Notamacropus eugenii: one gene and its partners. The protein of the gene in region 1 purifies or fractionates together with the protein of each later gene. This does not show direct contact. Links are inferred from orthologs where the notes say so. Each region holds a gene or a part of one and is shown in the gene's direction. Other genes may lie near its edges.

What was found.
Region 2: the proteins of PPP1CA (region 1) and YAP1 purify together in Homo sapiens (affinity purification with mass spectrometry; 5 studies listed by BioGRID and IntAct, with this or other methods). This does not show direct contact. The link is inferred for Notamacropus eugenii from reciprocal best matches to the Homo sapiens genes PPP1CA and YAP1.
Region 3: the proteins of PPP1CA (region 1) and PFDN2 purify together in Homo sapiens (affinity purification with mass spectrometry; 3 studies listed by BioGRID and IntAct, with this or other methods). This does not show direct contact. The link is inferred for Notamacropus eugenii from reciprocal best matches to the Homo sapiens genes PPP1CA and PFDN2.
Region 4: the proteins of PPP1CA (region 1) and RASSF7 purify together in Homo sapiens (affinity purification with mass spectrometry; 3 studies listed by BioGRID and IntAct, counting the BioPlex papers as one, with this or other methods). This does not show direct contact. The link is inferred for Notamacropus eugenii from reciprocal best matches to the Homo sapiens genes PPP1CA and RASSF7.

The regions. Positions count from the first base shown.
Region 1 is NC_092873.1:19,860,429-19,867,324, reverse strand, and holds PPP1CA (serine/threonine-protein phosphatase PP1-alpha catalytic subunit), read left to right. Parts: upstream 1-3,974; 5' UTR 3,975-4,067; coding exon 4,068-4,122; intron 4,123-4,300; coding exon 4,301-4,432; intron 4,433-4,817; coding exon 4,818-5,048; intron 5,049-5,172; coding exon 5,173-5,277; intron 5,278-5,424; coding exon 5,425-5,648; intron 5,649-5,728; coding exon 5,729-5,863; intron 5,864-5,951; coding exon 5,952-6,062; 3' UTR 6,063-6,384; downstream 6,385-6,896. Other genes in the region: TBC1D10C (carabin), read right to left, coding at 1,270-1,369, 2,354-2,511; cell cycle checkpoint control protein RAD9A, read right to left, coding at 6,675-6,770, 6,893-6,896. UniProt on the Homo sapiens protein: Protein phosphatase that associates with over 200 regulatory proteins to form highly specific holoenzymes which dephosphorylate hundreds of biological targets.
Region 2 is NC_092876.1:154,292,115-154,299,028, reverse strand, and holds the start of YAP1 (transcriptional coactivator YAP1), read left to right. Parts: upstream 1-3,902; 5' UTR 3,903-4,053; coding exon 4,054-4,383; intron 4,384-6,914. UniProt on the Homo sapiens protein: Transcriptional regulator with dual roles as a coactivator and corepressor. Critical downstream regulatory target in the Hippo signaling pathway, crucial for organ size control and tumor suppression by restricting proliferation and promoting apoptosis.
Region 3 is NC_092873.1:267,547,258-267,554,844, reverse strand, and holds the start of PFDN2 (prefoldin subunit 2), read left to right. Parts: upstream 1-4,616; 5' UTR 4,617-4,712; coding exon 4,713-4,805; intron 4,806-7,410; coding exon 7,411-7,499; intron 7,500-7,587. Other genes in the region: DEDD (death effector domain-containing protein), read left to right, coding at 360-736; NIT1 (deaminated glutathione amidase), read right to left, coding at 2,017-2,325, 2,478-2,603, 2,743-2,876, 3,198-3,301, 3,400-3,651, 3,968-4,078, 4,456-4,616. UniProt on the Homo sapiens protein: Binds specifically to cytosolic chaperonin (c-CPN) and transfers target proteins to it. Binds to nascent polypeptide chain and promotes folding in an environment in which there are many competing pathways for nonnative proteins.
Region 4 is NC_092873.1:27,747,573-27,755,546, reverse strand, and holds RASSF7 (ras association domain-containing protein 7), read left to right. Parts: upstream 1-4,966; 5' UTR 4,967-5,310; intron 5,311-5,572; exon of another isoform or gene 5,573-5,703; intron 5,704-5,999; 5' UTR 6,000-6,036; coding exon 6,037-6,139; intron 6,140-6,231; coding exon 6,232-6,893; intron 6,894-6,979; coding exon 6,980-7,234; 3' UTR 7,235-7,738; downstream 7,739-7,974. Other genes in the region: LMNTD2 (lamin tail domain-containing protein 2), read right to left, coding at 188-343, 571-658, 752-904, 1,099-1,328. UniProt on the Homo sapiens protein: Negatively regulates stress-induced JNK activation and apoptosis by promoting MAP2K7 phosphorylation and inhibiting its ability to activate JNK.

The DNA.
Region 1 (6,896 bases):
AAAAGGTCTAGAAACTGATGCTGAGTGATCCTGCTTGTGATAAAGGACTTCCAGGTCGGGGAAGGGTTAGAGGTAGAGGCCCTGAGGTTCAGCCCCTGCCTCTCCCTTATCAGCCTCCTCATCTCTCAATTCCAGAGACTCTACTGGTCCTTGCCTTGGGCCCTGGTGCAATTCCCACTCAACACACACACACACACACACACACACACACACACACACACACACACACAGACACACACAGACACACACACACACACACACACACACACACACACACACACACACACACACCCCTTCTCCACTGTTCCCTGTGAAAGGCACTGAAGGAAGTTGCATAGTCCTGCTGCCTGGACCCATGACAGTTTCATCCTCTCTCACTGTTACACATTAATCCTTTCATTTTGTCCTGACTGACAACTCACTCTCCATACAAGCTTCTTTCTTTCAGCCCATGTCACCCTGGGGCTCCCAGCCTTTTTGGGTCCCTGGAGCCCTTGACTTTCAGGAAAACTTCCCACATCTCCAATTCCACAGTCTCTCCTTTCACTTTTTTCTTAACTCCTCACAATCTAGCTTCTGACTTTCTCATTCCACGGAAACTGCCCTCTCCAAAGTGACCAATGATCTCCTAACTACCAAATCCTGGGCCTTTTCTCCATCTTGATTTTCCTTGGCCTCTGCAGCTACTGGCACTGTTGATCACCATCTCCTCCTTGATTGTCTTTCTCTCTAGGTTTCTGGAACACCCTTCTTTCCTGCTTCTCCTCCTCCCTCTCTGAACTCCCCTTCTCTGTCTCCTTCCCTGGATCTTCCTCTAGATCCCACCCTCTAACCAGAGGGGCTCCCTCTGGCCTTTGTCCTGGGCCCTCTTCCCTTCTCCCTCTGGACTGCTCCACTTGAGGATCTCGTCAGCTCCCATGGATATAAAGACCATCTCAATGTGATGATTCCCAAATCCACCCATCCTGTCTCAATCTCTCTGCTGACCTCCAATCTCCCAGCTCCAGCTGCCTTTCAGGAACCTTAAACAGGATGTCTAGTAGATGTCTTAAACACAACATGCCCAGAACAGAGTTCATCTTTCCCTCTGAACTTTCTCAACAGAGCAGAATATTTCCACTGCGACTTTTCTGAAACACCATCGGCCTGGGAATTCTGTCTACCAATGAAATCTCCAGTCCCTCTTTCTATTCCCAGGGCTCAGCACATAGTGGACACCTAAAAAAAATGTTCACCGAATGAAATGGAGGCCCCAAGTGGGGCCCTCACCTTCTTGGCCCGCCTGGACATGGTCTTCTCCCAGTGAGCCGTCATCTCCACCCACTTCATTTCTCGTTGCCGGATCAGCTCCAGTGGGGGTTGCCCTGGGCTATGGGGTCAGACAGGACAGGGTCCCCAATGGTCACTGTCATCTCCCTTCTGTCTGCAGACCATGGCAGGGGGAGGGGAGCAGCTAACCTCAGTCTCTTGTTGTCACAGTAATGGGAAGGATGTGGCTTGGAGTGTGGTCGGAAGAGGGAGGGGGTATGGCCTAGTTCCCCCTCCCTGCTGGGCCAGCTCAGAACAGAAGCCAAGAGAGCTCAGAACTGGGCAGCCAAAGGCAGCAAAGAGTGAGGGGGGCGGGGGCGGATAGGTGCTAGGAAGCTGCTTGTCTGTTTCTGGCCCACTCCAGGCCTGACTGTACCCATCCCACAGATGAGTCTCTCTGGTTCATGGACTTTGCCAAGCACAGAGAGGGGGCTGTGCTCTCTGCTCCTGAGTGGCATGGTTTTCCCCCAAGACCCCCTTCACCAGTCTCATCGCTGGGCCCAGCATACATGCCCACCCCTAAGCCCATCTCCTTTAACCACCCAGCCCCATTAGGCTTTGCCCAACTCTTGCCTGTCTATGCCTTTATCCAATAACCTCTGCCACACTTCCCAAAGAGGGACAGATTTGAGTAGGTCAAGTGTTTGTGTTTGCCCATTTTACAGATGAGGAGACTGAAGCCCAGAGAAGTCCTTTCCTCTCTCTAGTCCTTGGTTACCTCCTCACCGGGAAGACCTTTGAACGTCCCTTCCCACTCTAAATCAAGGGTCCTGTGATCTTCTGACTTCCAATCTCTAGCCCCCTCCCTTCCCAGCTCCTCACCTGACTTGCTTTAGCTAGACTTTCTCTACATCCCTCCCCCAGCCTCTAACCCTAACCCACTAGACTCTGCCTACTCTGGATCAAAAGAAACACTGAATTACATGCAACCCCTGAGACTCAGATGATGATTACATATAGCCTGACCTCACCTGGATCCCCAGGATGTCCCCTTCCCCAGATATGTGACTGAGCTAGGCTTCAGCCCTCCCACTGCCCAGCTTACCCTGCGTCTGAGGGCTTGGCACTGCCCCCAATGAAGCCATAGCGGTCAGCCCTGCGGTAGGGTCCCGGACCATTGAGCTCTGAGTCTGAGCCAAGGGAGCTGGAGTCATCCTGGATATCAGGGGCCTGGGCCAGGTCCTCCCCCAGGGCGGCAGCCATGGATGGCCTGCCCCCTGCTCCTGCAAAGAATCAGAAGCCAGCATCCCGGGGTTACCAGGAGGTCGCTGGCAGCCCCCAGGCCAGGTTCAACCCAGCTTCGTCCATCCTCCTCCTCACCCCCAGGCCCAGACCTGAGCTCCCCCTCCTCAGCTTACACCTGACTCACCTCAGACCGCTGCTGCTTTGCTCAGCCCCTCTTCTCACCTCTGGGGCGCTGGCGCTCTCTCACTTCCTCCCCAGAATCATTTCCTCCTTAGCTGGGTAGCCCCTGGGGTGGGGGTGGGGGCCCACTCTGCCCCTCGCTTTTTCCTGCCCTGACCCAGCCTCCTGCCCCCCACCTGCCTTTCCTTCTTGCGCCCCAGGGATGGCTGGGCTCTCCCCTGCCCCATCACCCTTATATCCAGAGGGCCGACCCCCCCCCCCAACCTTGCCGAAGCTGCTTCTGCGGGGTCTCTCCTCCCTCCTCACATAAGGAAGCCCTGTGCAGTCAGAAGCCTCCGACTCTCTAGGACTCAGTTTCTCCCTTTGTGGTTCTGAATCTGACAATCTCATGGCGCGGCCTCCAGCCCAGGATGGACCACGGGTGGGCTTCCTCGGACTTCCAGCTCCCACGTGGGGGCTGGTCCTGCGTGCTGGCCCACAGCTAAGCGGGAGCCCGGGGGGCAGGGACGGCGCCACTGTCCAGGGTCCTGGAGAGCCCGAGGGCTCAGAAGGCGGCCGAGCGTTCCCGGGGGGGGGGGGTCCCCTGCTGGGAGGGTCCCCCCAGGCCTCCCTTCCTTCCAGCTCCACTTCCCTGGTCTTCCCTCGAACTCCCGCCCCTCCCCCCTCATCATCACCACCACCACCAAGGCGAACGTCTCTGTAGCGCTCTAGGGCTTATAAAGTCCTGACAGCCCCATTTTAAAGACTAGGAAACGGAAGCAGGCAGAGGTTGGGAGAGCAGCCAGGGGTCTAGGGCTGGGGAGGAACGGTCCGAAGGCATATTCGAACCCGCAGCTTGAAGGATCACCGTGGGCAAAGCGCCACCTCGCGGCCCATTTCCCTCTTCTTTCTCGGCCCCCTCTAGGCCCCGCCCCTCTCCCACCACGGGCCCCGCCCACTCCCCCTTCCAGTTCCCTCTTCATTTCCTGGTCCCGCCCCTGTTCTCGGCCTCTTTTCCGGCTCTGGCTGGGGCCCCTCCCTAGCCCTCCTCCTGCTTCTTTTCCTCCTCTTGTCGGGGCCGGCTCTTGACTCGTCGGTCCCACCCCTCCCCTCCTCCTATCCGGGCCGCCGGCTCTCTCCCGGTCCCACCCCTCGTCTCCTCCTCCTCCTATAAGAGCCCTCCGATCGCTCACTGGTCCCGCCTTCCTCCGCCACCGCCGCGGCTGCTCCCCTCCCGCCCGGAGGGCGGCGCTGTGGCGCGCGGCTCGGGGCGGGGCCTGGGCGGGGGCTGAGGCCGCGGGCAGAGGGCGGAGGGCGCGGCGGCGGAGGCGGCGGCGGCGTGAGCGGGCGGCGGGAGCGGCGGCGGCGGGCACGGGCCGGAGGGACGGAGCCGGGGCCCTCGGGGCGGTGCCGCCATGGCCGACAGCGAGAAGCTCAACCTGGACTCCATCATCGGGAGGCTGCTGGAAGGTACCGGGCGGGGCCCGGGGGCCCGGACGGGGGCGGCCGGAAGCGGGGCCGGGGCTTCGCCGGAAGTGCCCGCGGGAGGGGAGGGTGGGGGCCGGGCGGAAGTGCGGCGGGGGCGGGGGGCACCCGGGAACTGGGGGGGGGGGGGCGGGGGCAGGCGGTCTCTGAGGCCTGTGTCCAGTGCAGGGCTCCCGACCCGGCAAGAACGTGCAGCTGACGGAGAACGAGATCCGCGGCCTGTGTCTCAAGTCCCGGGAGATCTTCCTGAGCCAGCCCATCCTCCTCGAGCTCGAGGCACCCCTCAAGATCTGCGGTGAGACCCCCGAGGGGGGCGGCCGGAAGTGCCCGTACGCCGGACACGGCCTCTACAAAGGCCTGGAGGTGGGAGATGAGTCTGAGCCAGGGCGCCCTCCCACCTCTCGACCAGCCCCTTGTAGGGTTTGGGCCAAGCCTCGGTGGTGCTTTGCACCCTACCCCCTCCCCCAGGGCCTAACAGGGTCAAGACGGGGCCAGTGATTGGCTGCAGTGGGAGCTGGGCACCCATGCCCCACTCTCTGAGCCCAGGACAGTTGCCTTCCCAAGGGGGATTTTGAATGGAGCTGGAGTGGCCTGGAGGTCCTTCCCTCCCTGGTCTGGGCTCTTCATGAGTCCAGGGGGTCATTGGCCCACCCTGTTCACGGGCTCCTCTCCCTACGTAGGTGACATCCACGGCCAGTACTATGACCTGCTCAGACTGTTCGAGTACGGGGGCTTTCCCCCGGAGAGCAACTACCTCTTCCTGGGGGACTATGTGGACCGGGGCAAACAGTCCCTGGAGACCATCTGCCTGCTGCTGGCCTACAAGATCAAGTACCCAGAGAATTTCTTCCTCCTTCGAGGGAACCACGAGTGTGCCAGCATCAACCGCATCTACGGCTTCTATGACGAGTGTGAGTGGGGGGTGAGGACAAGGGCGGACGGGTAGTTGAGCCCTTCTCAGGGCTAAGTGGGGGGTCAGCCCCCAGGGCTCATTAGCAGCCTGTCTTCATGGAGCTCCCTCTCCTTCCCTCACAGGCAAGAGACGCTACAACATAAAGCTCTGGAAAACCTTCACGGACTGCTTCAACTGCCTGCCTATTGCAGCCATCGTAGACGAGAAGATTTTCTGCTGTCACGGGGGTGAGGCTTGGTGTGTGGGGCACTGTGACCCTGGGGCTACCTCCCACTTCTTCCAGAGGGTGGGAGGGTCTCCAGCCTGGGGTAGGGGAGTGGTCACCCACCAGGCCAGTCAGGGCTGAGGGGCTCAGAGGAGGCCGCCTTCTCCAGGACTGTCCCCAGACCTACAGTCCATGGAGCAGATCCGGCGCATTATGAGGCCCACAGACGTGCCGGACCAAGGGCTGCTGTGTGACCTCCTGTGGTCAGACCCTGACAAAGACGTGCAAGGCTGGGGGGAGAATGACCGTGGCGTCTCCTTTACTTTTGGAGCTGAGGTGGTGGCCAAGTTCCTTCATAAACATGACCTGGACCTCATCTGCAGAGCACACCAGGTCAGGGACTGGGGCTAGGGGCAGGACGACCTGGCCCGGCCCAGAGGGAGGGATGCTGACCAGGCTTTGCTTTGGCCCAGGTGGTAGAAGATGGTTATGAATTCTTTGCCAAGCGGCAACTGGTGACCCTCTTCTCTGCCCCCAACTACTGTGGTGAGTTTGACAATGCAGGCGCCATGATGAGTGTGGATGAAACCCTCATGTGCTCTTTCCAGGTGCGTGAGCCCAGGGCTGGAGAGGGAAACTTTCTGGGACCAGCCTCTCCCCAGGGCAGCCCATCTGACCAGCCCTATCTCTCCGCAGATCCTTAAGCCAGCCGACAAGAACAAAGGCAAATATGGGCAGTTTAGTGGCCTGAATCCTGGTGGCCGCCCCATCACCCCACCCCGTAACTCTGCCAAGGCCAAGAAATAGCCGTCGTGGGCATGACTGATTGTACAGAAATCCTGGCTCCTCCTGGGGTCTCTGACATCCAGGAGAGCCTCTAGTTGCAGGGAGCACCAAACCTTGGTGTAATTTTCTTTTATAAAACAAAATCAAATAGTCTACTTCCCTCTAGCCTTGCCCTGTTCTCCCTCTAGCGCCCCATCCTGGGAGCTGGATCCTGGGTGGAGGAGCTGGGGAGGGAAAAGGAAGGCCCCTCGGAGCAGGGAAGAAAGCTTGAGTCCCATCTGGGCTCAGCTGCTCTGTGCCCTTATCTGGTCTTTTTTGAATAAATGTCAAAGCTGGATTCTCACTGGCCTATTAGCCTGCCTTTTGTCCAGAATGACGCATGTCTGCTTCAGGATTGGGAATCTTTATTGAGGAAGGAGGGGTTGGCTGTGGTGGCCAGAGCAGAAGCAGAGCCAGCGTCCGCTTCGGGCCCAGGGTGGAAGTGACCAGGTTCTTCCATCTCCATAGAGACCCCCATCCTCCTCAAGCACAGTTCAAGTCTTTTCTGACACAAAGCAGGCAGAGGAGCAGACTCGCCAGACGCTGCTCCTGAGAATGTGAGGTGGCCCAGCTGCTGCTGTCCCTGAGAGCCAATCAGCCCTCTCCCTCACTGTCTTCTGCTAGTACCGGGTTGGGCTCAGAGGGAGGTTCTGTTGGGGCCAACACTGAACCAAAGAACAAGGAACGGAACTAGAAGCAGAGAGAAAAGCAGCACTGAGTACAGGCCGCCACCAAGCCAGCCCACAAACCCAGGGCAGAACGCACCATCTCCCCACACCCCACAGGGAGCAGACAAGGGACCATTTGTTCACCTTT
Region 2 (6,914 bases), on another chromosome or scaffold:
ATCCTGATGAATATCTGGTCACCGGATTCAGATGGCTATGGAGGAGAAGTGAGGCTGGTGACCTGCAGCCCTACCTCACTCAAAACAAAGTCAAGCGCAAGTCATGTCATTATTTCTCTGATGACATGGTCTTCTTTGGCAATGAAGGACGAACACATACACACCCCACCTAGTTGCCTGTCAGTGATGGAAGGCATTCATATTTCAGTAATGGATTAAACTAGATGATTTCTGAAGTCTCTTTCTCTTATGATTCCATAACCATATGATTTTAATATTCATACTTCTTCATGAGAGTTTTAAAAATATCTGCATCCTCTGGAAGAACCTCATTAGGTTCTTTGATATCTTTCTCTGGCATTCTTTTCCTAGTTTAATTTACTTATATCTCTGCTGCTGATTCTGATGCTTATTGGATCAAAATACTGAAATGAGACACTGGGGGAGGGCTATCAGAATCTGTACCTGTGATGCCATCAGTTTAGGGAGTTCCCAGTGTGGAAACTTCCTCTACCATTGTAGATCAGCCACTCATTTGTAATTTATAGTTTTAGGGAGCTGCCTGGAGACTGGGAGATAAGTAGCTTGTCCATCATCATGGAATCAGTCTTATAGATTTAGAGTTAAAGAGGATCTCAGAGGACATCTACTCTAGCGCCAACAATTTACAGATGAATAACTAAAGCACAAAGATTTTAAGTAATTTGCTCAGGGTCTCACAAGCAGTAAATGGTAAAGCCAAGATGAAAGGCCACACCTTCATTTTAAATTCAATAGTTCTCTCTTTCCTTACATATTCAGTGAGAAAATGGGCTTAAACTACAGTGGTAAATAGAACATATGTAGAGGATGCATGTGGCAAAGAGTTAATTCATAGTTCCTGGTTACTGAGTTCTTTTTCCCTTTATGGAATCTCCAAGAAATTTCCTTTAGGTCTTTGTTGAGTTCCAAGTTTGTGTTTTGGTAGAGTCCATAGCCTTTGTTTCTTTTTGCCCCTAATGGGGCATGATTTCTGAAGTTGACTTTCTTAACTGGTCTGTCCTTCTACATCCATCTGCAGGTGCTTCCACTGTCATCATCCTTTGCTATCACCTCTGATGGACCTTGTCATCAACTTTATGAGGTCCACTGGGACCTCAGATGGTTCTGAACCTTCCAAGGTCCCAAGGCTGTAACCTGGTCAATTCTGTCTTAGGACACATACATTCACCAAGATTAGGGAAGAAGAAACACAAAAGGAAGAGCAGCCATGAACTCACTATCACATGGCCAGGTGGGGGAATATACCTTGCTGCCATTCCAGTACAAGGCAGCTCTCAGCAGATTACTCCTTTTGTATACACATTCACTTCTGACTCAAACACTCATGAGTCATCAGTCCTTCTGGCTCCTCAGTCAGTCAGAAGACTTTTTGTCACCACACAGTTTACTCAGTCACTCATAGCTACAAGTAGTACCCTCAAACTTTAGAAACAGACAGAAAATATGCTTTAAGGACTGAATTCTGTCAGGAAATATCCACATCTCTCACAAGGACTTGGATTTACAGACATACACATACGTACAGTAAATTAACAAATTAATCTTTCTGGGAATCAGCTTCAACTCTCCCCATTACTGTTAAGCCATCCCATCCTCCTAGTCACCCAAGCTCACAACCTTGGTGACATATTCAACTGCTCTCTCAAAATGTATCCCACATATCCAAATCTGTTCTCAAGTCTTGTTTCTATCTTCACAATATCTCTCTTAGAGTCCCCTTCTCTTCACTCACACAATGCTCTGGAGCAGGTCCTTTTCTGCTCAGCCTGGGCTAGCTACTTCAATAGCTTGCTGACTAGTCTCAAGTCAGTCCTCATTCCACTCTTTCTTCCACTCAGATGTCAAATGGATCTTTCTAAAAGAGCAGATCAGACTCTGTCATCCTCTCCCTTTAATAAAACTCCAATGCTTCTCTGTTATATTCAGGATCAAATAGAAAGTCCTCTGTTTGGTTTTTTTAAAGCTCCTCATAACCCAGTCCTTTTTTACCTTTCCAGTTTCCTTTCATTTTATTCTCTATTAACTCTATGATCCAGTGACACATCCCTTCCCCTACTTGGCTGTTTCTTCACCTGACTTGGTACCCTTCCCCAAGCTATCCTCCATTTCTGGAATACTCTGCCTCCTGCTTTCTTTCAAGACTCAGCTTAAAGCCCACCTCCTAGAAGAAGCTTTTCCCATGTCTCCTTTCCATCCCCCCCTTCCCTCTGAGGTTCCCTTTAGTCTGTATACATCTAGTATGTACAGCTGTTTACACGTTAGCTTCACAAGAAGGTGAGGGTTTTTTGTTTTGTTGCCCTTGTGTCCTCAGATCTTAACACAGTGTTTGGCATATAGTAAATATTTAATTAATGCTTGTTGACTGACTGCCTGACTCATCTAAAAAAGGAGCACGCACAATGACCTAGATGGCCTGAGGTCCTGGGAGTTCTAAATCTAGGATCTTACAATTATTCTCTGCCTCTCATTTATATCTTGGGAAAACAGATTTTAAAAAAAACAACTCATTTCTTTAAAGCACTTCCAGACATTGTTTCCCCACAGATTATGCCACAACCACACTGTAGGTTTATTGCATGGGGAATAGTTACAAAAAACTATACAATGTAGCGACTTTTACAATAAAGCGTTTTATAACAATGTCACAGGTAGGGTTAAAAAGTTTACACAATCCCTCAATCATAAAGAGAACTCTGCTTTCATCTTCTTTTTTTTCCAGAAAAAGTAGCTTTTTAGAAGTTGAACTGAAGTTCCATAAGCAAAGGGTACATAACTTCTTCAATAAGCATGTAAGCACCCCCCAAACTACTTTTTCCCCCTTCAATAGATTATCCAGATAATTTTCTTAATCTATAACTTCCTTCTCTAAGGCGTGTAGACACAAGTTAGGGAAAGGCAGTCAGTGAACATAGGAAAATTCAGTATTTTTGTTTATAAATGACCTTTACTCAAAACGTGGAAGTATCCATAAGGACAACCTAGTGCCAGCCTGGCCTGTTTTATGAGTAGCAGCAGTGATCGCTTCTAGACTCGGGGCTGCTGCATTAACTTTTTAATGCACGAAGGGCTCGGAATCAGGGCAGTTCTGGGGCTCCTAGCACTTGAGTGATTGTACAAAAGCAAAGCGAACACCGTCAGTAAGAAGAAGGGCTGCGTGCTGGAGGGGAAGAAGCGGAAGCGGGTGGTCTGGGGGAGCGGACCGCACCAGGCACCCGAGGATAGCCGGGAGCTGAGAGTAACCTTAATCCCTGGAGGGAAGGGGACCGAACCTAAACGCAGACCTGGCCCTTCCACCGCAGCAGCGCCGAGAAGCGACGGCCCGAGTTTCTGTCCCTTTAAGCAACCGGGGAGGATTAGGGTGAGGGGGAGATCTCCGTGGCTTGGTGGTCACGTGAAGCAGGGAGAGAAGTTGGAGGTCCCGGAGGTGGCTGGGAAGGAGGAACTTCGGGGGAAAGTTTTTTTTTCTTTTTCTTTCTTTCTCTCTCTCCCCCCCTCCCTGGGCGCGGATTCGGGGCGGGCGGGCGCGCAGAGGCAGGAGGAGGCGGAGTCGGCGGCCGGCTCGGGAGGGCCGTTCTCCCAAACTTTAGTTTTGGTGTCCGCCGAGAGTTTGGGTCTCAGTCGGGCGCAGCCGCCGCCGGGAAAAGAAAGGAAGGGAGGGAGGAAACTGAGGGAGAGAGAAAGAGGAGAAAGGGACGAACGAGCCTGAATTCCGCAGAGGGAGTTGAGGGAGAAAAGTTTTCCGGCGGCTGAGCCACTCCCGAAACTTGGGAGCGGCGTCCGGGGAACAGTCCGGGGGCCCCGTGGGGGGGGGGGGGGGCAGAGGGGATGCGGCCCTGGCCCGCGGACCCCTAGCTCGGAGACCCGGAGAAGGAGGAAGGAGAGGAGGCCAGCCCAGCCGCCTGCGCCTGCGGGGCCCCCCTCTCATTCTAGTTGCGGGTCCGAGGCTGTCCCGGACGGGCGGAGCCCTCCCCTCTCCGGGTTAGGGGGTGGGAAGCTCAGGGTGGGAGAGCCATGGATCCGGGCCAGCAGCCGCCGCAGCCGCCCTCCCAGGGCCAGGGGCCGGCTCCGGCTCAGCCCCCCCAGGGTCAGGGTCAGGGACCCCCGACGGGCCCTGGGCAGCCGGCGCCTCCGGGAGCTCCAGGCTCCCAGGCTGCGCCGCCGCCCCCCGCCGGGCATCAGATCGTGCACGTCCGGGGGGACTCGGAGACCGACCTGGAGGCGCTCTTCAACGCCGTCATGAACCCCAAGACCGCCAATGTGCCCCAGACTGTGCCCATGCGCCTCAGAAAGCTGCCCGACTCCTTCTTTAAGCCCCCGGAGCCCAAATCGCACTCCCGACAGGTAACTTCACGTTCCCTTCCCCCCTCCTTGCCCTTGTGAATCCCTTCTCCCCCCCTCGCGGGGCTCGGGGGACCCAGGGAGTCTGGGCTGGGGGGGCGCCTTGGAAGCATGGCCCTTCTGGCTGGCGGGGACGGGCTGGTCCCGGGGGCTCTCAGGGCACTGAGGAAGGGGGTGGGAAACTGGGACTACGGGGCCCGGGCGGCGGGGGGTGAGGGGAAGTCTCTCCCCGACTGACTTTCCCCCTCCTCCGGCCCCTCCCTGCGGCTGTTCTGGGCTGAGATTTTTTTTTCTCTTCTCCCCCCGATCCCTGTGTTCCCTTGAAGTTCTACACAGTCCTGGGGGTTGTCGATTTGCGGGGCTTTGGGGAGGCCCCCTTTTAACTTCCTTTCCCCCTTTTTTCCCAGGTTGGCGGGAGGAGTTGGGGGGAGGTTTGTGGGGGGCGGGGAGGGGAGGAGAACGAACTGGGCAGGGGGGGGTGGGGGTGGGGAAAAGTTGCTGAGAGCTCTGTGCTACTTGGTGGGCTTGCACAATGCAAGCACCTCCCCTCCCTCCGCACCTTCCTTCCTTCCTTCCTTCCCCTGCTGGACGGAGGGGGAGGGGGAGGGGGAGGGGGAGGGGGGAGTCTGGCATTTCGTGTGTGGGTGAGTTGCCAGCGGCAGCCTAGTTGGTGAAGTTGAGCCCTGGGCCCCCCTCTCCTTGAGGGCCTCTCGGTCCGCATCAGTCTCCTGGGGAGTCAAATAATTGTTCTCTTGTTTTCCAACGTTGATTAGGGGGTGGGGGTAGAACCAGTCCCTTTAGTTTCTTACTCTTTCTCTGGCTCTCCGCTCTATCTGCCCACCCCCCCCCCCCGCCCCCCCCCAGGAAAGCATTTATTTCCGTCCCTCTGAGTTTTAGCACTTTTCCGAGCTACGAAACACAACTTCCACTTCAGAGACTTCCGAGACTTTTCCTGAAAGTTGTTTATGGAGTGAGCCCTGCCCCCCTCCAGCACTTTTGTGCCTTAGATCGTTAGTTCTTTTCACTTTTAAAAAGTTAGTCGCATTAAGTAGTTTTAGAAATTCACTCTCCGGTGAAATGCTTTTGAATGAGCCATTTTTGTTATTTGTGAAAGATTAGAGTTGCTTTTTACAACTTTTTTTTTTTAAACACAGGCAGCCTTTGATAATGCTATACAGGTTGACTCATGAAGTCCAAGTATGATTAAAAGTTAATGTTTGGGAAGCGATGACTAATTCTAGGATAGCCATTGCTTTTTCATTCTTCCTGGGGTTGTGAACATGGCTGCTTTTAAATATTCGCCCCATTTCATTATAATATCGTTTAGGAGATTTTCAAAACCAAAAACCTCGGAGGTGCTTTCTTCTGGAATCAGCTATATGTTAATTAAATTGCGGTGGGTTAAAAAAACACTAAACATCTTTTCATTTTTTGAAATAACTTGTTAGGCAAAAACTTGGCATAGGATTCTTGTTCAAAATCTAATTTGTTTTCCAAATACTGCCTAGTAGTTGGGCTTTGAGTAACTAATTAAAGAATATCTCTCCCACTCCCACTTCCCATTCACATTAGTTTAAAACAGTCTACAAGAATGCAGTAGACATGGGCCTTTTTAGAGTCTAAAGCTCTCTTAAGCCTCTGGACAACTGGGGGGGAGGGGCTTCTGGTAAAGAGAAAGAAGGAAAAAGTAGTTAATAGCTATATCCCTCCGTAGACAAACTGAAAAGTGGGATTGGGGGTGCATCTGTGAATTCGTTATATAGATATACAGGTACGCTTTAGCAAGACTAGCTGACAGTTAAAACGTCCAACAGAAACTATAAAATAGATTCCCCATTTTAGATTTACCCAATAAGAACTATATATTAAAAGGAAATGGAATTGCAAATGGGTATATCTTCCAAATATTATACCAGTATATAAGAGCCAGTTAAATAGATGCATTGGCTTTTCATAATCCAAAATCATTAATTGGACCCCAGGAAGATTAGTAACTATGTGCCCTGAATTTTCCTTTGTCTTGTTGCTACTTAACATACCAAGTTTTCTTGATTAGTTCACACTAATCGTGAATGGAAATACAAAGGCAAGTTCTGATTTAAGGCATATGTTGTATCCTACTAATTTCTTCCTTTCATTGCCCATAGGAATTTAAGAAATTCCAGGCACTGAGTAATCTTTCATAACTTTTACCTGATTGTAATCTCTGATCAGTTTCAAACTGTACAATGTTCCTTGACTAACTAAATTAACATTTTAAACATCCCCTACTTTTAGAACTGGAAGGGATCTTCACGGTCCTCTACTCCAACCCTTCATTCTACAGATGAGGAAACTGAGTCCAGTGAGATTATAACTCAAGCTGTTGTAATGCCCTCATTATTTAGGTGCAGAGATGTGGTAATAACTGTTTAATTTAAATTCAGGTTCAAGTGTGGATTTTTTTAAACTTGTTAATGAATTTTCTGTTGTCAGAAACAATGTTAGCATTGTTTAAAAGTTGTTTTAATTGTGATGCTTTATTGATTGGAATT
Region 3 (7,587 bases), about 250 Mb from region 1:
TTGTCCAAGGTGGAGAAAAGGAGTTAAATTTATGCAATTGAGGCTAAGTCTGTTTAATATAGAAAAAGCTCACCCCCATGTCCCCAAATGAAGTTTGATTTGGAGGCGATATGTTTTTACTGTGCCCTATTACTAAGAACTCTTTCCCTTCACGACCTTTTCCTCTTGGCCCAAGCATGGGCTCAAACAAATTCAGAGTATGTAAAGGAAATGCCAAGATGAGACAAGTATAGAGAAGTCATAGCGGAACTCTACCCTGGAGAAGGGTAACTACCACCTTACTGTAGTGCCTTGGTCTGCCACCCCTGTCACTTTTCTAACAGGGTATGGCCTAAGCACTCACCTTTTCTTTCCTGTAGACATCAGGCTTCGGGTGAGGGCTGAATACTGCCAGCATGAGACAGCTCTGCAGGGCAACGTCTTCTCAAATAAGCAGGACCCACTTGAACGCCAGTTTGAGCGTTTCAACCAGGCCAATACCATCCTCAAATCCCGGGACCTGGGTTCCATCATCTGTGACATCAAGTTCTCTGAGCTCACCTACCTCGATGCCTTTTGGCGCGACTACATCAACGGCTCCCTCCTGGAGGCGCTCAAAGGTGTCTTCATCACAGACTCACTTAAACAGGCTGTGGGCCATGAGGCTATCAAGCTGCTGGTGAATGTGGATGAGGAGGACTATGAGCTGGGCCGACAGAAACTCCTGAGGAACTTGATGTTGCAGGCACTGCCCTGACCCTCCTCTCACCTTTCACAAATCTGGGTCCTCAGCTCGGCACCCATCTCTGGAGTTCACACACTGTTTGGGGTTTTCTCCACACCCCTCCTGTCACCTTTGCTCCCCCTCCCCTTCTTTTTTAAAGGAAAAGACAAAAAAGTGGAAGTGGTGTGTCTCCCTCCCCCTCTTCCACCCAGACTGCCACAAGCCTGGGCAAGGAAGGAAGCAGCAGTCTGATGTCAGAGCCCTCTGTGGAACCGCTGCTGAAGTTGTTTGGGGGGGGGTCAATAGGAGGCTCTCTCAATTGCCCTCCAGCTTCATGAGGGCTAGTTATGTTTTGTTTTGTCTGAGAAACCAAAGGGCTGTGGTGTGGGAGCTTGCTGAAGAGGTAAGAGCCAGGGTTGTATCATGGGAATTTACCAGCACATTCCCTCCGCCCTTCTGAGAATAACACTTGTAAAGGTATGGCCTCCTCACTTGTTCACTCCTGGCCCTGGTGCTTCCCTTCTTCTCCCCCCATCTCCCAGGGACAGAGATTAGGGGCTCTTCCTAGTCTGGGTCCCTCATTTACCCTGTCTGCTCCTCTTCTAGGAAGCAGTGAGAGGGGAGGCCTGGGGCCACCCAAGAACCCCTTGTCTGTGTGCGCTGTGCACAAGTGCCTGTGTGTATGCAGGATGGGGAGAAGGGTTGCTGGGAGCACACACTCCCTGAGAAAGGGGCGTGTGGCATTTTTCCTTCCATGTTCAAGTGAAAATAAACGTATCCTGCAGCCCATTCCCATCTCATTTGTCGTTTGGCTTGGGGTGGACTCGGAGCTGGGATGTCCCCTTGAGCTTTGTCTGTCTCAGTATAGCCTTTCCCTTCCTGGGCTTCAGTGCTTGAATTGCCACAGTTCCTTCTCAATCCTAGGACCGGGCTGGGATAAAAACTAATTTGTGCATTCATTTTGAAGAGTTATGAACGGGCCCTACTTGTTACTATTGTCTAGTACGTTTGATGCTACATTGTTCCCCTTACCCTCAAAAGAGATGTCGAGACTTGGACTTCAGGACTGTATTTTTTTCATTGTTAGTGCTTAGACCTTGGTGTAGATTTAGTTTTCATAATTGTGATTTAAGAGCCCATCTATATGTAACTAAAGTTTGAGCCCATAAAAGCATTTTTTTGGGGCTTTACAACAGGCTGAACCTGTATGCCGTAAAGGAAAGGGAGTAGAGGCTCATCAGCGGCCTGGGGTCCTGCCTCCAAGCCACAGATCCTCACTGGCCCAGAACAGGACCCAGTTCAGTCAGCAGGTGTCAGGGGTCTGGGCGACCCAAATTACCATACAAGTCAGGTCTTCGGTGCTGGGCCACAGGCATACGCTGGCGTATCTGGTGGAGATAGGCCAGGTCAATGTGGGCAAGGCAGAGGCCTTGCCCCTCAGAACAGCGTGCTATCACGATGCCCCAGGGGTCCACCACCATACTGTGTCCATAACTCCCTCTTTTTTCATGGTGCTGTCCCCACTGTGCTGCTGCAACTACATAGCACTGTGTCTCAATGGCCCGAGCTCGGAGCAGCACCTGGTGGGGGGGAACAAGAGTGGATGAAATCAGCTTCAGCATCTGGAGGAGAGAAATAGGGAGTTAGAGCAGTGACCTTTGGAAGCAAGGATTCCCCCACTCAGTCCTGAGAGACAGTCAGAGGGAGTCAAGAAAGAAATACAGCATTTCTGTTCAGTTGAATACGTAGGTACTAAATATTGGTAGGTCCTTACCTCCCAATGGGCTGGTCCCGTAACTGAGCCAAAGGCTGAAGGGTAGGTGAGAATTTCAGCACCATCCTGGGCCAGTGCAAGGGAAAGCTCTGGAAAACGTAGGTCATAGCAGATTGCCAGACCTACCTGGGATGGAGGAAAGTAGAATACTTAGCTTATCTGGTGCTGGCCACTCTGATATAGTATTCCACTGTCATTTTGCCCCCTTCTACATATTCCCATTCCTTTTCCCCACTTTAACTTCCTCCCCTCCCTCCCTGCCAACCTTGCCAGCTGGTGTACTGACAGGGGACCCCAGAGTGGGCCCTGGTATAGTAGAGGTGCTCTCACACATGGGTCCCTGTCCTGGAAGCTTCACATCACAGAGGTGTGTCTTCCTATACGTGGCCACAATAGAGCCTTGGGAGTAGAAGAGGAATACTCTGCTGATGATTTTATATCCCCCAGACCCCAGAGAGGGAACTTCTTATGAACCAGAGGCACAAACATTATGTCCACAAGGTGTATGTGTTTTGGGGGTGTGGGAGGAAGAGGAGGAGGAACAAGAGGGAGCAGAGGAAATCTAACTGGTAAATGGCCTTGAAGGCTTGGTAAATTGTTTCCAAGCACTCTGGGCAAGGAAGGTGGAGGGAGTGAGGTTGGATGCTGAAAACAGGATTCTAGGAATGCAACTCAAAAGGGCAGGAGAGGACTGAGAGGGAGTTGGGGACAAAGTCTTACCCTCCTTGTCCAAGAGAACGTGACAATTATAAATCCGCTGACTCTGCTCCCAGTGTTGGCCACGTTCGTGAAAACCACCCAGAGATAGCCAGATACCACATTCCCTGTAGAGAAAGCAACAAACAACCCTTCTCGGAACCCCGTCTCCACCACAGTCAGCGGAGCCTACTCACCCACAATGCTCCTTTGCTGCCTTTCATACCTGGCAAGTTGGGCATACCGATTTACAAGATCCCCACCCAATGGCTCCGCCAGCCTAAGTGTCTCCGCTGAGTCCCGACCAATGAAGTCGAAGGCCTCGGGCAGGAAGACCAGGCAGGCACCCAACCTGGCAGCCTCCTGAACCAATCCTGAACAGGCTGCAAATGTCTGTTCCTTATCCGGCGTGGACGTCACCTGGCACACCGCTACCAGGGGCAAACCTCGAGGAGAGGAGCCGGCCATGGTCCCAGGCCTGTGAAGAGCAAGATCCAGGCGTCCCCAAATGGAGAAAGTGAGAGCTCAAAAGAGAACCGGGCATCTTCTCCATACATGATCTCTGGCCTCTGACACACCAGGAAAACCAGCAAACACATTAGACAAGGCTCAACTAGCTCCAGCTCTTGTCCTGACAGTGCCCCTACGTAACCTTAAGCAGTCCCTCATCCTTCCTGGGCCTCCGCGGGCGGGGGGTTAAATGAAGTGCTTGGTAAACTAGGAAGAGCTAGATGTGCAGATAGCGGGTCTTCCCTTTGCCCGCTCCCACCTCGAGGAGAGGCCGTGGGCTTTACCTGCTGCGCCCAGTGCCCGCCTGGTCACTGAGGAGGGAGATGCCAGGCAGCCTGAAGGCAGAGCGCAGCAGGAACGGGCACTTTCTTGGCAGCCCGAGGGTGGAGCTCAGCCTGGAAGAGAAAGGTTCGGGGGTCCTCTCGCCCCTTCGCTGCCCACAAGGCACGTGACCAGTCCCGCCCTCCCGCCCCGCCCCTCTCGTAGCCTCCTAGCCGCGGGCCGCCAAGCCCCGGCAGGTGGGGGCACGGCCCGCTGCTCGCCTTCCGCTCTCTCTTCGGAGGGCATAGGTCACTTACTGACGTAGGACAAGTCTCTCCCTCCCGATGCCGGGAATCCCTGAGGGCAAGATAGCGATGCCCGCCGCGTTCCACGCGTGCACTCACTCTCCGGCCCCCGGCCCCTGCCCCCGCTCCACCTTTCCTTCCTCCCCCATCCTCCCGGGGAGGGACGCCCTGGTGCAAGCAGAGGAAGCCCCAGACCAGGATCCTACATGGAGCTGGAGCCCTGGAGACTGGTGTCCGCAGCTCCTCCTCGCGCCTCGAGCCCAAAGGTCTTGAAGCTTTGAGGCCATAGGGCACCCGGAAATGTCAGGGCCCTCCCCTCCCCCCCCCCCGACGGAAGTGCCCCTAACCAAGATGGCTCTCGAAGCATCAGGATCCGGAGGAGTCTGGGACGGAGACGTCCGGATGTGACGCACCGGGAGGCGAGCCCTGGGCTTCTAGGGCCCAAGCTAGCGGGCGGGTGAAGATGGCGGAGAGTGGCAACCGGGCCAACAAGAGCGGTGGTAGCGGCAGCAGCGGCAGCAGCGGCGCGGGCAAGGGGGCGGTGTCAGCGGAGCAGGTGAGCTTAGCTGCCGGTACGCCGCCCCGGCTCCTGTTGGGGGCCGCGGAGCGGGGCCCGTGGCACGTGCGGTGCCCCCTGCCGCAGCCCGGGCTCGTCTGGGGCCCCCTGTGCGGAGGGGAGACGGGGGGTGAGTGTGGACACGACGGGGAGCTCAGGGTGGGGGAGCCCCTCGTGACGGGAGCTTGGGGGCCCCATCCGTGACTAGGAGCCCGGAAGACGCCGATCGCCGGAGTCTCCCCAGTTTTCTGTGACTGAGCGGGGGAGCAGACCCCTCCCTGTGAAAGAGCCGTATGAGGTCTGAAATCCACCAGCCTGGGGAAGTGCCTTGAGGTGCCCCGGCCCTGGCTAGCCTGAGCTCCAGGCCCGCCCCTCCTGCGGGGCTGCAGGATTGACCTGAGAGCCGAGCCGGAGCGACTTCCACCGCCTGAGCCCTGCAGGGTTGTGTTCCAAGATCCCTGTTCTTGGAGGACCGCGAAATTGTACTGTGCCTGACCACGGGCGCAGTGTAATATGTGACTTGCACTTTCTTCTTTTCCTTTTTAAAAAAGCTTGCAAGTGAATATTCTTAAACACTGGCATGACCATGGCAGTCAAATTCCCTGCTCAGTAAAGTCCATTGGCTTCCTATAATATCAAATATAAAATTTAATATGTTGTCTGTGGCTTTTAAAGTCTTTTGAAACCTGGCCCCCCCTCCTAACTTTTCCATGTAGTCTGGCATTCTGGGACATGGGCCTTCTTGCTGGTCTATCTTCTGCCCCTCACTTAGAATGCTCCACCTCATTACCTCCACTTTCTAACTTTCCTGGCTGCTTCCAAGACTCAGTTCAAATTCCACCTTTTGCTGGAAGTTTTTCCCTGCCTTCCCTCCCCTCTTCCTTCTGGGAGAACTTCCATTTCTCCTGTATGTATATATGTTTCATGTATATACTCATTTGGATCTGGTCATCTCTGGCCATGCCAGAAAACATGAGAACAGTATGGTATAAGGAAAAGAGAAATAGAGAATTATACATAAACATTTGGACAGGAAAAGGAAAAAAAACAATAAGTAATTTGTAGATAGGATTTCTGGGAGCAGTATTTTGCATTCCCATGAGAGCTAGTGTTGGATTATTTTGCTTCTTAACTTTGCAGCTAAGATTTTGGGTAGCTGGTAAAAGTTTTATCTTTCTATACAGAAATGGCAAAATTCTCTAACAGATTTAAATGGATTCACTTTGGTGCGGCATTGGATTCAAAATTCACCTCTAACCTAGAAGCATCGCTGGCCTTCAGTTAACAAGAGTAATTTTGTTTTTTAAATATCTAATTCCCCTTAGTTGTTTTAACCTCAGGGATTCAGGGATTGATTTTATTTCACAAAGTAATACATTTTGAGTGTGTGCTCAGGAAACTTCTATCTTTTCAGGTGAATCTCCTCCTAAGTAGGTTCCATCATTTGCATTCATACAGGAGTCGCTTGGATGTTGTTGGAGTTCAAGTTGATCAGTCATTATTTGTTAAGCATCTACTATGTGTCAGACACTGTGCCAGAAGCTAGAGATTCAACAAAAGTCAAACAATTCAAATTTCTGTTCTAACAAGTTGACAGCATATACTTATATATGTTGATATAAGAAACCTTGGGGAAGTAAGGTACAAGGAATTAAGGGCATAAAGAAAGACATTATGCAGTAGATGATGATTGAGCTGAACCTTCAAGTAAACTTGGATTCCAAAAGTGGGGAGTGAGTAGAGAGTGTTTTCCAGGCATGGGAGACAGCTAGTGCAAAGGCATGGAGAAAGGGAACAGTGTTACGTGATGAGCACCAAGAAGGCCAGTTTGGCTGGATTATAAGAGTATATGGAGGGGAATAATGTACAGTAAGGCTGGAAAGGTAGGATGGGGCCAGATTATGAAGGGCTTTAAATGCTAAAAAGAGGCATTATTGAATGAGGGTAGGAGTGTGCCACGTTGTCACAACTGAACTTTAGAAAATCTCATTGGCAGCTGTGTGAAGGATGAATTTGAATGTTGAGAGACCAGAAGTAGAGTGACCAAGTACAAGGTAATTTTATTGAGCAGCAGAAGCCACTGGAGGAGTTTAAATAGAGGTGAAGCAAATACTGATATACTGTATAGTGAGTGAGGCACCAGAAGTAAGGAATTCTGTACGGCTAAGGTAGTAACTGTTCCATTCTCTGGATGTGAAAGTACAGAAGGAAGGAGGTCTTGTTCAGAAAGATTATAGGGAAGAATAGATTTGGCACTGAATTAATGATTAGGTCGGGATTTGGGCTACTCTTTCTCTTCTAGTTTATAGTCTCAGCCCTAAATAGTAGGTACAAAGAGCAAAAGCCCAGAGAACAGCTATATGTGGAGGGTCCATCTGTATTTGCTCTCCTAACGTGTACCAGTATAAGTACTTGTCCTGGCCATTGCCCTGTATTTTCTTTGGTAGAAATCATCCCTTGAGGGAAGACTACTTTAGACAGGGATAAACAGGGCCAAATTGGGACCCAATTTGTACTTTTCTCAACATTTAGGTGACCACCTAAGGAGCCTGCTCTTGCTATCTTCCGTAGAGTTTTCTCCCTCACTTCATCTCTTCTCCCCTAGGTGGTTGCTGGCTTCAACCGCCTTCGGCAAGAACAGAGAGGCCTGGCATCCAAAGCAGCTGAGCTGGAAATGGAGTTGAATGAGCACAGGTGAGAGGTCTGGGGGAATAAGGAAGAGTTGAGGTTGAGGGGAAGTCTGTACTTTGTTGGGGCTGTACCCTCAGACCGTTCTCCTTCT
Region 4 (7,974 bases), about 7.9 Mb from region 1:
GGCAATACGGGCTGCAGTGCTGAGGGAGTGGTCCACAGGGCCAGAGGAAGGGCTGTCTGAGGACTGCACAGAAGGGTCACTAGATCCAGCATGGGAGAGAGGAAGGGGATTGGGGGGGAGGGAAGATGGATAGGGCAGCTTCCCAAGCAGGCACATTTGGGCAGGGTGACCAGCCAAGCTCACTCACTTCTACACTGCCTGTCTGGGAGCGCAGCACACGTCCAGCCCACGAGGATCGGGCCAGGTGCAAGAGGCATGACCGCTGGAAGGTCTGTACCTCATCCTCCAGGCACCGCAGGCGTGCATGGGCCTCCTGAAGCTGATTCTCCAGCTCTGTCTTCTCCTATAGGGAGAGATGAGAAAGGGTCTGCAGAGCCCCAGGCCCAGCGGCCCCAGGGGGAGGAACAACTCTGCAACCTGGAGAGAGCAGCCAGCCTGGGGGGAGGAGGGCACCAGCCCCAGCAGACTGGGGGCGGGGGTGGGGTGGGGTGGGGGGGTACCAGGCCCAGCAGACTGGGGTGGGAGGGTTGGTCCAGGTTCAGGAGCCTCAGGCCTACAGAAGAGACACACTTGGCAGGCTTGCTCCTTTTGGGCACTCAGCTCCTGAGTCATCTTGTCAATCTGCTGCTGCAAGGCTTTGATCTGCTCCCGGGAGGTCCTGTAGGAAGGTCAGAGCAGGGGTGTGTGGGAGGAAGGTACACAGGGAGGGGACAGAAGCCTGATGGGGAAGGGGGCCCTGAGGGTTACAGACCTTTCTGGCTTCGAGTCTGTCAGCTCATGGAGAATGTAAGTCATCCGCTTTCCAGATGGACACTGAGCAGCCTTCCGAAGAGCTTCAATTTCCAGCTCCTTTTGAGCCAGCAGCAGCCTCAAGACTTTTGGATCCAGGTGCTCCAAACGGCAACTGTAACCACCATATCTGTAGCCCTTGAACCCTGGCACTGGTCCCAGGTTCCAGAGCTGGACACGATCCTGGCCTTGAATGCTCAGCCGGGACCTCCTGGACTCTAGCCCCAGTAGCAGAGGCCTTACATTCCAGCCCTGGTGTCCCCCCCGACTCCCTGCCCCGGCCCCTGGACCCTCCATTAGGGCTCTTACTTCTGGCTGTTGGGAGACATCAAGAAGGAGACAGAAGACAACTTGCCATTGGCACCTTCAGGCATTGTTCCGGATTCTGTGGCCTCCAGGAAGTCGCTGCTCCACATGAAGGAGGGCCAGGAGATGGTCCAAGAGGGGTCATGGACCTGGAGCCCCTGTCCCAAGTCACTTCCCAGCTGCTCCAGGCTGGAGGAGGCATCTCCCCCCTGCTCCACAGGCTGCCCAGCCATCCTTGGTGTTCCTGGGGGGAGCCGCCTGGGAGACAGGCTGGGCTGCTGCAGCCGACTAGAGGTGCCCACCTACGGAGCAGAAGAGGGGACAGACTCTCCAGCCGCCTGTATAGTGTCCCAATCCCTGGGGGTCCTCCCAGATGCCACCAGCTCTAGTGGAGCGAGGCGTGGCAGGATTCCTTAGTCCCATTTTACAGATGAGAAAACTGCCTCAGAGTTTCAGGTTTCTGCTCCCCCCCAAACTGAACCAGAGGCTGCTGGTGGTCAATCTTCCCTCTCAATTATCCAGCTCTGGCAACTACCCCTCCCCCCTCACCTGAGGCAGACTGTGAGCTCAGGGTTCTGGAGCCCAGGCTTTGTTGCTGTTTCCACGGTTACGAGCCACCTCCTGCCCCAAAGGCCCCAGAAGGAGGGGCTGTTTGTGCTCCAGCATTTCATATGCCTCAATTGTTCCTTCTGGCACACTAGGCTCTAGCAGGGGTGGAACTGGGAAGAAGGAGGCTATCCTAGAGGGAGCTCACCAGCAGAAGGGCCAGCCTGCTCAGTTTGGCCTCTTCTGGGGAAGTCTGGAGGAGCAAGAATCTCCTCTGTTTGAGATTCCCCCCTTCTCCTTCCCTAACTGTCCCTCCCCCAGCTAGAGCTGCTCTCTGCTGGGTCTCCTCAGAGGTGGCTCCAGACATGGGGAGCAGCCAGGTAGAGGACACAGCCACCCAGGAAGAACCATTAGAGACGTGATGATGGATCAGCTAGAATTGATTCAGCATCTCCAATGTGCCAGGCATCACACCAAGCCCAGGGGATACAAAGAAAAGGAAAAGAGTCCCTGGCCTCAAGGAGCTCCTGGTCTAAAGGGGGGACAACATAGAACGAACTTTGTATGAGTGGCCAGAAGCTCAAAGCATGAAGGGCCATCCGAAAAGGGGTCTTTCAGTAGACACTTGGAAGAAGCTAGCTAGGGAAGCTGGAGATGCAAAGGCAGAGTCCAGAAATGGAATAAACACAAGCTGGCCAGTGCCCCTGGACCCTAGAGTGTAAGGAAGAAAGAGACAATGCTTTTAAGGCCAAAAAAGATTTCGTCGTTAGTCCTAGAGGTGGCTGGGGGATGAGAAAGTGCCAGGGGGTCTGAGGGTAGAAGGTCATTTACGAGATCATTGGTGACTTGAGGAGGGCAGATTTAATCAAATGATGTGAACAGAAGAGTGAGGAGTGGCAATGCTGGTTGTAGATGGCTTTCTCCAGGAATTCAGCCACAAAAAGAAAAAGAGAAGGGGGTAGGGGCAGCTAGAGACGGTAGGGATCAGGAAAGAGGTTCTTTTTCCAGGGTTGGGGGCGTGTTTGTAGGTCATACACAGATGGAGCCAGTAGCATCAGAATGACTAGGGGCTGTCTAGAAAAGGCACTGTGGTGAGCAGGATAGTGCCTCAATCAAGGTGGCTGCCTTGGTCCAGTCGGGGTCTCTTCTTGCAGCCCTAAGGTTGGCAGTCTTTGGCTAAGAAAACAAAAGCAGTGCCCTGCTTCTCTGTCAACCATGTGTCCTACGATGCTGGGACCCTTCCCTTTCCCTGGGGAGAGCTAAAAAATGAAAACCATACATCCACTGAATTGTCCTCAGCAATCAGCAAATGTGTTAAGCACCTACTACACACTGTTGAGGTTTGGGGTGCTAGGAACCACAAAATACCAACAAGCCAGGTCCTGCTCAAAAGAATTCAACACAAGCCTTCTTAAAGCCAAAGAAAAACAACGTTTATGAAAAATTCAACATATTGGGTTGACTCTTAAGGAGCCTAAGTATTTGTAACACTTATATTCACAAGCAGGCCAGATAGAATCTCAGCTAGACAGTTTGAGCTGGATTGAATCTAAGCACCTTCATGGAGGCGAGATGGCACTTAAATACAGAAAAAGACTGAGGGGAGAATCCAGATTTTGCCAAGCAGTCTCAGGTCCCAGGGATAGTCTGGACAGGGGAGGTCAGCCTGGAATATAAATCAAACCCAGGGAGGATCCTGATGGGAGTGGCCCACAGTCCAGACAATCCACAATCCTGGCTGGGCCACTGGGACCTCAAGAGAATGCTAAGAAGTGGCAGGAAGGGAGGAATCATGAGAATGTTAAATCAAGTAAGGGGAATCCAAGGAGCCCCCCAAGGCCAGGCTTTCCGAGGCCCTTCAGACAAATGGGACCAAAACCCTCCCACTCCAAGAGACAAAGGTCTCGGCTTGGGCTTGTACCCCATCAGCCCCAGATACCATTCCAAAGATAAAAAAGGGTTGAGGTCTAATAGGGGAAATAATCTGGATGTGAAAAAAAGTATATCCAGTATATACATATATAGTGCCTTCACCGCTGTCTCCAACGGGGCCTGTCTACAGCTCAGTTATACCCAAGTGTTTGCAGGTTGTCACCTCCATTAAATTGGGAGTACATCGAGGAGAGGGGCTGGCCCTTAGCACAGTGCCTGGCACACGGCAGACTGTGCTTAATAAATGCTTATTTCCTTCTTCCTCTAACTCTTGGACCTTGGGCAAGTCACTTAACCCCAGCTGTCTCATCCTGGGTCATGTCCAGTCATACTGATGAGTATCTGGTCACTGGATTCAGATGGCTCTGGAGGAGAAGTGAGGCTGGTGACCTGCACAGTCCTCCCTCACTCAACATAAAGTCCAGTGCAAGTCATGTCATCATTTCTCCGATGGGTGGTCTTCTTCAGCAAGGAAGGACGAACACACACAACTCGTGGAGGAGGTAACGCTTGAGCTGGGGTTTTATAGAAGGCAGTTGGGGGGGGGTGATGTCTTCACTTGGCCTGAACTGCATTTCAGTGAAGTAGAGCTGCACTCACTCTCTCTTCTAGAGTCATCAGAGTCCAACAGCACGACAAAAGTCAAGGCAGACCCAAGCACTCGGCAGCGCCTGCTTCAGCAGCCTTCAGGGCAGATTGCTCCTGTCTGCCCATTCCCCTGGGGAAGTCTTCAGGTGCTTGGGGGAGACGACCCCCTACCTCTACCCTCAGTGGGGCGGATCCACGTGCCACAGCATCTGGGAGCCAGCGGCCGGACCTCCCTGAACACCCTGGACCGTGTTAGCACAGGGTCTGAGGCTCCTCTCCCTCCACCTCGAGGTCCCACGAGTAGCCTTGGAGAGGGGCAGCCGCTCCGGGTGATGCCCCCCAGGATGAGTGCGCAACCCCTCTTCCAGCCCTCTCGCAGCGCCCCTTCCCCACACCTCCCCTGCCCAGCCCCCCTCTGCCTCTCCATCTCAGGCCCCTCTCGCTCCCCTCTTCCCTTTCTGAGACCCCTCATCCTCCCCCACCACCCAGCACCCAAGAACCGCGTCTGAGACGCGCCGCCGGCCGGTCCCACAAGCCCTGGCGCTCCGCCAGGAGTGTCGGGCGGGGCCTCAGGATAATTCGCGGGGAGAGGACACCACGTGGGCGCCAATGGCTACTGTGACAAATGGATCCAAACGAGCCCGAAGCCGCGCGTGCGCAGACCGAAGGCGGCGGCCGCGCCGTAAGCTCCGCCCCCCGCCGCTGTCCCACCTCTCCCACCTTGCCCCCACTCAGCTTCAAGGCAACAGCCAGTGACGCGCAGCGGGAGCGGGAGCGGTAGGAAAGGTGGGAGATGAGACAAAAGCCAATGGGAGGACGGCAAAGAAGGGGCGGGTCGGCTGCTGAGGGACCAATGGACGGAGAGGTGAGGCCCACCGTTCCGAACAGGTACCCGGAAATCAAGTTCCTCCGGACAAGTCGTGGCTTGGTCAAAGGTCAGAAGTGACAAACCGGGCAACGAGAAAACCATTCCCCCACGCCACGGGCAAGGGGACCCAGGCGTCCGGATTGGAGGACGACTTTGACCGCGGACTTCCGAGAGGCCGCGAGCCACGACCCCTGGAGTTTGGGGAGGTGACCGAACCACGTGACTACACCAAGCCCCTCCCATACCTGTGACCGATGGAAGCGGGGCGGGGCGACAACCAGGTAAACCAGACCCGGCTGGAGGCGTGGGAGCGGAGCCAGGCTCTCCAGCCAATAGATGCCTGACGTAGGGCTGTGAGGCGGGGCCGGAGTCCGTGAGTGGCCAACGGGAGCTCTAGGTGGGGTGGGGTGGGGCAACAGGCATCCGGCCAATAAGGGTGAGGCGTGGGACCGCGGGGCGAGCTCACCACTGCGACCAATGGGCGCCCGGGGTGGGGCGGGGGCGGGACAACAGGCGTAGGGCCAATAGGGGCGCTGGGTGGAGCGGGGCTCGCAGAATCAGCCAATCACGCCGTGGCGTGGGGCTGCGGGGAGGGGTTGCCGGAGCCCGAACCGAGCCGAGCCGGAGCTGGAGCTAGGTTGGTCGGTTTGGATCTGCGGGGAGAGGCTCCGACGGTATGCTCTGAACTGTTGGGTTCTCCTGCTGGGGTGACCTTTGCTAGGGTCAGCCGCTGCTTTTTTGGACCTGGGGGCCGGGGGTCAGAGGTCCTGCTGACCTCTGACCCCGCCCCCCAAACGGGAGCCGGGCTGAGGAGGCAGGGGTTAATGGCCTGGGTCCCCCCTGGGGTGGAGAGCAGAGTTCTGGGCCTTTAAGGGGCCCCTCTGGGGAGCGGGGTGTGGGGGTGGGGGAAGAGCCCAGAGCGCCCCACAACCTGCTGAACGGGGAGGGGTGCCCCTCCCTCCTTCCCCAGGTCCCGCCGGGGATGCCCCGGCCCTGCCCCCGCCCCCATGGAGCTGAAGGTGTGGGTGGACGGAGTACAGCGTGTGGTCTGCGGCGTCTCGGAGCAGACCACCTGCCAAGAAGTGGTCATCGCCCTGGCCCAAGCCCTAGGTGAGCGGGGCAGCCCCTGAGCTGCTGGGGGGGGGGGGGGGGTGCCTGGTGCCAGGGCTCCTCCCCCAAGACCACCTTCTCCTCTTTCCCAGGGCAGACTGGCCGCTATGTGCTCATCCAGCGCCTCCGAGACAAGGAGCGGCAAATGTTGCCCCAGGAGTGCCCCGTGGGGGCCCAGGCCACATGCGGACAGTTTGCCAGTGACGTGCAGTTTGTCCTGCGGCGCACAGGGCCCAGTCTTGCCGAACGGCCTGCCTCAGACCCCTGTCTGCCCCCAGAGCGGTTCCCTGTGCCGGCCAGCCTTCCCCACAGGCCTCTGCCCCCCGCCCCCCATGACTCCCCCAGCCCAGCCAAGGAGGACGTAGAAGGGGAGCTGTGGGGCCTGGAGCACCTGGTCCAGAGCAATGAAGCCGAGCTGGACCAGGAGGGCTTCTGGGCCCAAGAGCTGCGGCGGGAAGTGCAGCAGGAGCTGGAGCGCCAGAGCCGGGTGCGGGAACTGCAGGCGGCCACTGAGGAGTGCGCCCGGCGTCTTCGAGAGCTGGACGCTCAGGCCCGAGCCCTGGAGGAGGAAATCAGCTGGCGGCGAAGGCAGCAGCGGCAGCAGGAGCTGCCTGGCCCCCGAAGGCCCCAGGATGAGGCTGCCGCTGCCCGACTCCACAGAGATCTGCAGACCCAGGCCCTGCAGAGTGAGCGACTAGAAAGCAGCCTGGCCAGCGTTGGCCGGGCCCTGGCGGAAGCCGAGCAGAGCCTGCAGGTGAGGCCAGCCTGATCCATCGCCTTCCAACCCCCCTGAAGGAAGGGATCAGGCCTCTTCATGGCTCCCCTCTCCCACCCATCCAGGCCCAGGCCCAGGAGGTGGAAGAGCTGAATAGGGAGCTCCGACAGTGTAACCTGCAGCAGTTCATCCAGCAGGCCGGGCCAGCACTGCCCCCACGATCCCAGGGCCCTGAGTCCAGCCAGGTGAGAACCTTGGGAGCTGGGTCCCAGGAGGAACACCCCCTTCCTGGGCTCCCTCGGCTCACTCCCTGTTTGCTGCAGGATCCTTCAGCCTCACCAACAAGCCCATCCCACGCCTTCCCAAGATGTCCAGCGTGAGCCCCAAAGCCCACGTAAGTCTGCTGTCCCTGCACCTCGAGGAAGAAGACTCGGAGGAAAACCCCTGTGTGTCTGCCTGTCTGGCACCTTCCTTTCACTCAGCTTCATTGGCTCTCTCTCAAAGGCAGCTCAACGGGACACTGAGGCTGTGCTGAAGATAGTCACTGCCAGGCTGGGGGACCCATGTCCCAACTATCCAGCTGGTTCCCTTCTCCAGAGGTGCTGCACTGGCCAGAGATGAGTGAAGGATCACTGGGAGAGACACATATGGGCTGGGAGGAGAGTTTTGGTGCCACTCTGCCAAAGACCTACAGACAGAAGGACAATGGTCCCACAGGCTGGCCCAGGCTCCTCTGGCTGGAACTCACTTCCTTGGACCCCTGCTATGTGGCCAGTAAACTCCTAGCAGGAGTGGGGGAGAGGGGGCCTGAGTGTATCCCTGCAGGGGAGTGTCCTTTCATCCCTCACTGTGTGGATCCCCCTGGAATAAAGGCACCTAAAGTATGTTATATCTCTGTATCCCGAAGGGTGGGGCAGGCCTGAGTTTCCCTGAGGCCTGGGCCAGTTTTGGACCCTCTCCCTCCTTCTTTCCCCTCCCTGGAAATCTGCAGTCCACTTTGTCTATTGTAATCACAACCTTCCTCTTGTCTTCAGCTCCCACCCACTGCCCCGGCCACAGACCCCCACCCCACGAATAGTCAGCTAAGTCCCTGGATGGTGTCACACCCAGAGCTGTGGAC